Linked DNA regions of Arabidopsis thaliana. The protein of the gene in region 1 interacts with the protein of each later gene in a pairwise test. Each region holds a gene or a part of one and is shown on either strand. Other genes may lie near its edges. The genes, in order: AT1G03520 and AT1G71020.

The links.
Region 2: the proteins of AT1G03520 (region 1) and AT1G71020 interact in a protein complementation assay, tested with the Arabidopsis thaliana proteins (one large-scale study listed by BioGRID).

The regions. Positions count from the first base shown.
Region 1 is NC_003070.9:877,290-882,109, reverse strand, and holds AT1G03520 (Core-2/I-branching beta-1,6-N-acetylglucosaminyltransferase family protein), read left to right. Parts: upstream 1-1,850; 5' UTR 1,851-2,556; coding exon 2,557-3,199; intron 3,200-3,299; coding exon 3,300-3,375; intron 3,376-3,454; coding exon 3,455-3,570; intron 3,571-3,653; coding exon 3,654-4,162; 3' UTR 4,163-4,249; downstream 4,250-4,820. Other genes in the region: NAF1 (nuclear assembly factor 1), read left to right, coding at 55-132, 234-1,472; AT1G03510 (Tetratricopeptide repeat (TPR)-like superfamily protein), read left to right, coding at 4,563-4,820.
Region 2 is NC_003070.9:26,789,955-26,795,069, forward strand, and holds AT1G71020 (ARM repeat superfamily protein), read right to left. Parts: upstream 3,366-5,115; 5' UTR 3,152-3,365; coding exon 2,858-3,151; exon of another isoform or gene 2,645-2,857; coding exon 2,528-2,644; intron 2,437-2,527; coding exon 2,050-2,436; intron 1,960-2,049; coding exon 871-1,959; 3' UTR 595-870; downstream 1-594. Other genes in the region: AT1G71015 (plastid movement impaired protein), read right to left, coding at 1-107. UniProt on the Arabidopsis thaliana protein: Functions as an E3 ubiquitin ligase.

The DNA.
Region 1 (4,820 bases):
TCTTTTTGTTGTGTAAATTTTGAAAGATTTTTCCCCTTTTTAAAACTTTTGCAGGAGCTTCCTCCAGTTCCTCCTGTGGATGTCACTCTGGAACCACACCATGCCACACTTCCTGTTGGAGTTGTTCTTTCGGTATATTAAAAATTACCTCTACTTGTATGCTATTGCTTCTCTGTTTGATGTCTTGACAATCCACTGCTAAAAGCATACCCGTCTCATTTGTGATTTTACAGGTAATGAGCGCACAAGTAATAGTTGAGGGAATGGAAAAGCATAGTCCTTTGACTGAAGGTTCTATCCTTTGGATAACTGAAAAAAGAACGCCATTGGGACTGGTGGATGAGATCTTTGGACCCGTGAAGTGCCCTTATTATATTGTGAGGTTCAATTCAGAGAGTGAAGTGCCAGAAGGGGTTTGTCAAGGGACACCTGTCTCATTTGTCGCCGATTTCGCTCAACATATTCTCAATATCAAGGAACTGCAGAAGAAAGGTTACGATGCATCTGGGGATAACGACGAGGAGATACCAGACGAGCTAGAGTTCTCAGATGATGAAAAAGAAGCCGAATACAGAAGAATGCAGAAGTTGGAAAAGAGAGGAATGATGAGTGACCAGAAAACCGGTAACACCAGGAACAAGAAGAAGAAAAACCGAGATCCCGGAAGGCCTACAAGCAGTTACTCAGGGGAATGGACGAAGAACCAGGGATCTAGTTCTCTATCGTCAAACCGTTCTGATCCTCAAATGGGTGGTCCGCGTCCTCAAATGGACGGTTTTCCTCCAAACAATGCAGCATGGAGACCCCAGAGTAATCAGCAGAACCCATATCAGCTTCCTCCTATACCTAATCAGATGGGAATGCAGATACCTTTCATGGCAATGCAAAATCAAAATCAAATGATGTTCCAACCGCAGTTCAATGGTGGCCAGATGCCAATGCCAGGTGGACCGGGAGGCTTAAACTTCTTTCCAGGACAGGCTTCAGCGCCATGGCCTGCAATGGTAGGTCAGAATTGTTTCAACCAACAGTTTGGGATGGGTCGTGGTATTCAGCAGCAGCCATTACCAAATGAGCTGAGTTTTAATATGTTTTCTCAAGGTCTTCAAATGCACCCACCACAGTCCCAAATGCACCGGCCACAGTCTCAAATGAATCCACAGTTCCAAATGCCACCACAGTTCCAGCCCCACCAGCAATCTCCAATGAACCCGCAGTACCAAATGATGCACCGACCACAGTCTCCAGCGAACCCGCAGTTCCAAATGCAAGCACAATCTGATGTGCGACCACTACAGTCACAAATCCCGCAGTCACCAAGTGATTTGCAGTCCCCAATGGAACCACAATCTCAAGGGTTTAGCAGCGGGCAGTCTTCTGAACGGGGAAGGGGCTTCCATGGTCGTGGTAGAGGTAGAGGGCGGGGTCGCTTCGGACGTGGGCGAGGTAGAGGCCGGCAACAGTCTGGATGAAACTTTTTTTGGAAGCATACTAAACTGCTAATGTGTGTCATAGCCAGGCTATATTTAGTTTTGTATGCCAGTTTTTGTATGATTATGATCTTTTTTTTTTTACACATTCTCTATAACAGTAAAACGAACTTTGATTTCTCTGTTGTTCCTTCTCCTTGTACCACCAAAGTCAAACTGGCTATAGAGTAGAATAGACTATACTCACTAGCAGTGAATTAGGCAGCAACATAAGAACAGTGTTTTTTTTTTCTCGCCGTTAATTTCGTTACTTATCTAACGTATTATTATGAGTTGATAATGCCACGTGTACGTCATCGCTTGTAAAGGGTTTGAGAGTCGTACATGATCATTAAATTCTCTACTGATTGATTTTGATTTTGCCAACAATTATTAAAGCTTACACCACGAAATGTTTGATGTTTAAATTAATTGCCATGTCTCTCTGTCTCTCTCTGTATCTCTCTCTCTCTTCTTCCCCGCGTCGATTTCACATTTTCTCTTTTAAGACAGCTTTGAATCTACAGACAACTTCATTTTTACCAAAATTTCTGTTTCTTCAAAGGATTGAACTTTCATATTTCTCTCTTGCCCAGTTCTGAGTTATTGCAATCAGAAGTTGTAAACACTTTTCCTGTCTCTTTCTGCTACCCGAATTTATCTTCTTTAGCGTCTGTCTCTTTCAGCGGACGTGTCTTGTCTCTTTAAGGTAATTTCAAGACTTAAACTTGAAGTATCTCTGGCCTTCTTCTGCTGTCTGTTTCATTTTTGAAATCGATTTGGAGATTAGATCTGACTCAGCTTCGACTAAAAGCCATTGCTTTCGCCTTTGGATTGTTGATTCCCTAGTGGATGTTCTTTATCTCTTTAAAAAGGTCCTCTCTTTTAAATCAATTTTTGCTGAACTTGCCCAATTCGGAAACTTTGTTGCAAGTCTCCTCTTGGTCTCTGGTAATCGTTTTCGCATCAATCCTTATATTGATTTGAATCTGTAATCAGATTCGATCTTTGATGCTAATTTGGTATTCTATAGAAGACAACATATCTGAATTGGGTTTCTTCGTTGGATAGGATAAGTGGTTAGGGAATGAGAAAATTGTATAGGAAGCTGGTTTCATTCAGAGACCCATTTGCTAGGGTCAAGAGACATGTTAGTTCACATTCAGGGTTTAGAGCTTTCAGCGACAGAAAATGGTTGTTCCCTTTTCTAGCTAGCTTGATCATGTCCATTACTCTTCTGATTTTGTTAATTTCTGGCCAATTCGACAACTTCTTTGGGGAAGAAGATCAATTACCAGTTGATGTTGTTTCAGAGTCTAATGACTACTTTGTAGAATCAGATTTCAAGCAATCTATGAATTCGACGGCTGATGTTAATCCAGAGCCTCCTAGATTAGCTTATTTAATATCGGGAACAAAAGGCGATAGTCATAGGATGATGAGGACTTTACAAGCTGTGTACCATCCTAGAAACCAGTATGTTCTGCATTTGGATCTTGAGGCTCCACCTCGAGAACGGATGGAGCTGGCCATGTCCGTGAAGACTGATCCGACTTTCCGTGAAATGGAGAATGTTCGTGTGATGGCTCAGTCTAATCTTGTTACTTATAAAGGCCCTACAATGATTGCTTGTACTCTTCAAGCCGTTTCAATCTTGCTAAGAGAAAGCTTACATTGGGATTGGTTTCTTAACCTTAGTGCCTCGGATTATCCTCTAGTAACACAAGATGGTTAGTAACTCTCTCTATAATGCTTTAGTAGTCTATGATCCTTTTGAGCTTTATATTTAGTTGTGACTTATAATTTTGGCTTTTCTTTTTGTTTCTGTAGATTTGTTGTATGTCTTCTCAAATCTGTCTCGGAATGTCAATTTCATCGAGAATATGCAGCTCACCGGATGGAAACTGTAAGTATAACCATGCTTCATTATTCAGAGTCACACCAGAATCTCAAAGCATCTGTACTTACTTGGAATTTCTTAGCAGGAATCAGAGGGCTAAATCAATCATTGTTGATCCTGCCCTATACCTATCGAAGAAATCCGATATCGCTTGGACTACTCAACGGCGATCACTTCCAAATTCTTTCAGGCTATTCACTGGTTATCTTCTTTAATCTCACAGTTTCATATCTGTGAGAAAGATTATGAAATGTTTGAAGATGATTTATGTCTTAATTCTGCAGGCTCAGCTTGGATAATGTTGACTCGGTCTTTCCTCGAGTACTGCATTTGGGGATGGGATAATTTCCCAAGAACAATACTAATGTACTACACAAATTTCGTATCTTCTCCTGAAGGATACTTCCACACAGTAATCTGCAACAGCAAAGAGTTTATCAACACTGCAATCGGTCACGACCTTCACTACATTGCTTGGGACAGTCCTCCAAAGCAACACCCTAGATCTCTCTCGTTGAAGGATTTTGACAATATGGTCAAGAGCAAAGCTCCATTTGCACGCAAGTTCCACAAAAACGATCCTGCGTTAGACAAGATCGATAAAGAGCTATTGGGACGGACACACCGGTTTGCACCAGGAGGATGGTGTGTCGGGAGTTCAGCTAATGGCAATGATCAGTGCTCTGTGCAAGGTGACGACTCGGTGTTGAAACCAGGACCTGGTTCTGAGAGGTTGCAGGAGCTTGTTCAAACACTTTCCTCTGAAGAATTTAGGCGAAAACAGTGTTCTTGAAGTTATCTACTGATGACGCAAAATATAACGTTGTACAGTATATTGTTTTGTTTGATTATAAATTTTTGGTTATAGAAATTTCTTCGAAACACATGAATTAAGAACAAGTGACGTGCAGTGGGCTTTTATGGGCCGTATAGCGTCAGTGAAGTGGCATTGATAGGGCCATATTTATAGGGGACCAAGAATAAGGCCCAATTAGCTTGTACAGCCGAAAATAAAAAAGATCGCCGTTGCCGGGGATCGAACCCGGGTCACCCGCGTGACAGGCGGGAATACTTACCACTATACTACAACGACTTTGTTGTTTGGTTGTTTAGAACATAACTATTTAACAACAAACTAATTTGTATTTCTTGAAGGCTGACGCCAACACCGAAAGCTCTATCTCCACCACTCCATGTCTTCTTCGTACGCGTCGAGCTGCACTAAATTGATCTCTCTCACCAAACAATTAAGCTCTTACGCGAACCAAGGAAACCATGAACAAGCTCTTAATCTCTTTCTTCAAATGCATTCTTCTTTCGCCTTACCTCTCGATGCACACGTCTTCTCACTCGCTCTCAAATCGTGCGCTGCAGCTTTCCGTCCTGTTCTCGGTGGATCAGTCCATGCACACTCCGTCAAATCCAATTTTCTGTCGAACCCATTTGTTGGA
Region 2 (5,115 bases), about 26 Mb from region 1:
AAATCTTTAACCACTGTACCAGCTTCCACAGGCGTTTTCAGTTTGAAACTCTCGCCATTGATGTTCATGATTGTCGCTGTTTTCTTGGTTCCCAAGCTATTTCCCATTTTGGTGAATGATGTTGTGTAAAATGTTAGTATCTTTTAGGTTCACAAATGAGATGAAAAAACTTTGTAGGTTGGTGTCTATTAAGAGCTCAGTAGTTCAAGGTGGGTGTTGTGTTAGATCAGATCATTATAGATTTTGGATTTGATTTATGGTTGGTTGCTGATGATAGTGAACCATTTCTTGGTCAACAAAATGCCAAAATCTTGAAAATTATTAAAACAATGAGAAGACAAAAGTTACGTCGCATTTCACTATCAATCTTGAAAAGACCAATAACAACCCAAAATTTATGCTTAATTTTATAAATAGAAATGGAAAATGTGTACTGTTCTTCACTTCGACCATAGTATATTTTGTACTATGTGATTTTGGAAGTTTTGAGACCAATGTTTTCTGAGAAAATGACACTTGCGTTAATCGCTCCGATTAATCTGGAAAACTACGTTGTCGAAACATTTTTTCTCAAAGACACGTGAAGAGATTGACTTTTAACGAATTTGAAAACAAAAAGCTGATTTGATTTCTCTTTCTAGGAACAGTAACAACACACGACCTTTATCAAATCATATGAAACATTTTTTTTAACAAAATTAACAAATCAATACAAAGATGAGTCAAAGAGTTCGATTCTCGTTAACTCTTTTGACTCCACCTTCTCCTCAAATGGAAATTAAATTAGTCTTCCAAAAACTCAATAAGATACAGGACATAATAAACAGATCAATAGCCAGCAAAACTAAATTAATTCATGTTAAGGGCTATTTAGAGTGAACCTAATTTTCGGGATGATTTACGGAGAAGCTCTAGTAAAGAATTAGCTTTTCGTTTAGCTCTCTCTGTACCGTCTCTTGATAGTTCCATCAATGGAACAACAGCTCCAAGTCTACCAATGGAGATCAGTTTTTCAGTATCTCTCTTGCAAAGACACAGTAGTATCGCAGCTGCGTTCTCTCGGTTTCGCGGTTGATCCTTCTGGAGACAATCTATCAAAGGTGGTATTGCGTTGGCTCTCAAAATCGCAGTTTTCGCGACTTGGTTACTAGCTAGAACCGAGAGTATGGTCAAGGCTTCATCAGCCATCCTCTCGCTCGAGGAGTCTGTCAGCATTTTCACCAATGGCTTTACTATACCGGCTCTAACTGCTCTGCCTTTGTTTCCCTGGTAAATACACAAGTTGAACAGAGCCGTAGCTGCGTCTTTCTTCCCTCTGACGCTTCCATATTGAAGCAGATCCACTAAGGCCATTATCGCACCTGATGCGCCTATAATGATCTTGTTCTCATCAGCTAACGAAAGACTAAAGAGAGTAGCTGCAGCGTTTTCTCTAGCTTCCATGCTTCCAGCTCGGAGGACTAGCACTATAGATGTGACTGCTCCTGCAAGCATGATCAGTTCTTTGTTGTGTTCGTATATGGAGAGGTTAAGAATGCAAGTGACAGCATTTTCCTGCGTTTCAGTGTCACCATCTGAGGTCAAAAGCTTGACCAAAACAGGGATGGCTCCTGCCTCTGCAATCAGAATTCGGTTGTCTGTGCTTCTTTTTGACAGAGAGCGGATTTCAGAAACCGCAGTCCTGCGGTCTTCGATTGATTGGCTAGAGAGTTTACAAACCAATGCTCGGATCGCTGACATATCTCCACTTAGATCACGGAAAGACCCATCACTGTTTTTGGTCCTACCGTTCATGTAACCACCTGGTTGCTCAATGTTGTGCTTAGTGCACCACTGAGATATCAGGCTTCTGAGGACATAGTTTGGAGTAAGAGTAAAGTTTTCAAGTTTCTGCTGTGTCTTTGGGCAGCTCAGATTTCCACAGTCTATCCATCTCTGAATGAACGACCTCTCGTATGTCTGCCAACGAAGAGAGAAGATCATTGTTAAGGTTTCAAATCAACAACCATACGTTAGCACTATATAAAGATTTGATTTTTTAAACCAGACCTGTCCTGTGGAAACAATAGCAGGATCCTTCATCAGTTCCAGAGAGATTGGACAAAGAAAGTCCTCTGGAATCGTGAGATTATCCGATTTCTGTGAGTCATCGCTGTTCTCGGTAACTGCTTTCTCTAATCTCTCATCATCACCATCCTTTGATAAAAAGAAGGCCAATGATACTGAAGAGCTCTTCCAAGGAGGGGGTGATTCAAATTTCTTCTCATCTGATAAAGAATGCACTGTCTCTGGAATACTCTCCAACTTTTCAATAACTTTTCTATTACTTGAGGCATCTTTCTCCATTGGCTCAGATAAACCACTCGAGAACTTCTTCGAATTTAACGATCCATATCTCTGCATTGCTCTTCTTAACTGTAATCTTGCTAGTTCCACCTAATCACAAGCAAAAAAAAACCCTTAGAAACACCTCCATGGATAGGAAAACCAAATCTTCATACATTCTACATAATGAACAAACTTTTACCTGTTCACGGACTTCGTCAGAGATATCATATCTATCATATGTCAAATCACCTAATGCTTTCTCCAGCTTCCATGTAACACATTGGAACTGGAATGAGATCCTCTTGGCTGCCCCATCCTTCAATCAAAATCACACATCAAAGTTTAGAGAGCTCCTCATGTATATATTAATAATGCTCTTCACTACACAAATGTCAACAATAGTATCTTCCAATCTAAAAAAACTAAAAACAAATTCTTCCTATAAATTACGTTCCTGCCATGGCGAGACCAAATCTTCGTGAAATCACAAATCCATTTTCAATCGTTGAGAATGGTTTAGAATGCTTACAGAGGACTCGCGAGCTTGGAAACTAGTAGCTGAAGACAAAAGACGCTTCGCGGCTTGAAGTCCCACCACAAGATCAGACCACCAATCACATTCATGAGAATTCAACGAAGAAGAAGCATCAGATTCCGACGGCGGAGAAGAATCCCTGATTTCCTCAATCAAATGCGTCAGGAGACCGACTCGTCGCGCGAGATCGGAACAATCCTTCTTAAACAAACCAAAATTCCCCGGAATCTCATTGATTTCAGCAATAAGACCGATGAGAGAATCGGGAGTGATAGCTCCACCAGCCATTACGCCGTCTCACACGGCGGCTTAAAATTCGAATTTTTGTGACTCGCTCTCTCTCTCTCGCTGGCTCGCTTCTGACTCAGAGATGCGTCTCTATCGCTTTTATGTATCCAACGAAGCCATGTGGCGAAAAAGGATAAGTCGCTGTTACGACACCGTTTTGGTTTTAGTGTTTTTTGTTTTAAACTTTTTATCTAACTCTAAAAATGGTTTTTTCTTTTCTTTTTAGTTTACTGGCTTTATATTTTTAGATAAAAGTTTATGTGATACATTTAAATAATACAATAGAACAAACTAGATAATTGAGAGCGAGATTCACGGTGCAAGTAGAGGTTGAAGAGAAAATGATACAGTTGTCAAAAAAATAATCAATTATTATCATTTATATTAGATCAAAACTGTATAATAGAAATGAACTATACTTTTAAATTCAATAAAAAAATCCACTTTTCTATTTATTGAAGAAAATGGTTTGTTGTGTGCTTAGTTGTAAAGTAGATCTTATATGATTGTATTTTATAGTTGTGTTGAAATTTATGTTGGAGTTATGAAATTTATCTGTATGTATTATTTATGTAATCTTAAATGGTAATAAATAGTCAAATTAGTTATTTTTTCTATTTGAAAAGAAACTAAGATAAAATTTCCAGGCCTTTAGATGCATTGTATTGACATGTGTTTCTAGTATATGATCTGTCTTACCCTAGTGTTTATTAAAAGATGGAAAAAATCTTCTTTGTAATTAACTAAATATAGCTTTACATGTTTTATTTTCCCTTAAAAATAACTTTGTATGTGTAAGAAAATTTAATATCTCTTACAGCAAAAATGTTCTAGAAAAATTATGTCAATTAACATAATTTTGGTGAGTATTATATAGCCTGCAAATGGAACGGTCGAACATGACCCGGTAGATCGAATTTTAACAACATTTTAGATAATTTGAAGCATGTATACAAATTGGGACCTATAATTTTCTTAAAACTGTTTTACCACAGTTTAGTATACTTTTGATTAAAATTTATAAACATGACTTACATATAGTTTGTGACAGTCTTGTATTGAAAAGTTATCTCGGTTTAACAAAAGAAAGGTTCAACCACGACATCCACATCATATCGGCCGACGTCCATGCCCGTGACTTCTGCGTCCTACATAACAACCGATAGCAACTTGAAAAATAGACAACATTATCTTTTAGACATTTTTGGCAAGTTTGACTGGCTGGTTTCATAATTATTTTTGGACATATGCAAAAATAAAAAGATCTACATAAAGAAGAGGGTATTCGTCTGAATCAGATGAAGATTAATAACCTTGAAGTGTTTGATGAGGCATGTGATTTTTGCTTGCACATCCACACACAACTCTCCATTAACCACAATACTCACCGTTATTTCTGAAATTTATGGTGTAGTTGTACTTGCGGAACAATATGAAAGTGAAGGTGAGATCAGAGTTTATACAGTTGTGGAAACAACTTCTTTGATGGTTGTAGATCCCGCAATCGTAGAAACAACCTTAATGATGATTGTAGTTTCGATGATAAATATTGGTCCATTTTCTTAGCAAACAATCTCCTCTTCTATACTTGTCAAACATTCATATTCTTTGGTCATGCAATTTTGTTTAATATTTGATGATGTTTGAATAGCGGTTGTACAAATGTATTTACTTTCTAATTTTTATTTTAAGCATGTATGAAGATACTTTAAACAAATTCATTGTGAGTTTTGTTCAAAATATATGTGAACGTGTTTGTACTAGTTGGTGCATATTTGACCGTATAGTCTCCATGCTTAAGACATCCTTAAATCGATACATTTCATTATTTTATAAGTTAACTAATTTGCTTCCTTTATATCTTTAGTAAGTAATTTTCGTATTTATAGATTCCTTTGTGCGAAACGAGAGTTTGAAATTGCTTTTGAATAAAGAGTAAAGTGTAGTTTGGAGGAAAATGAACA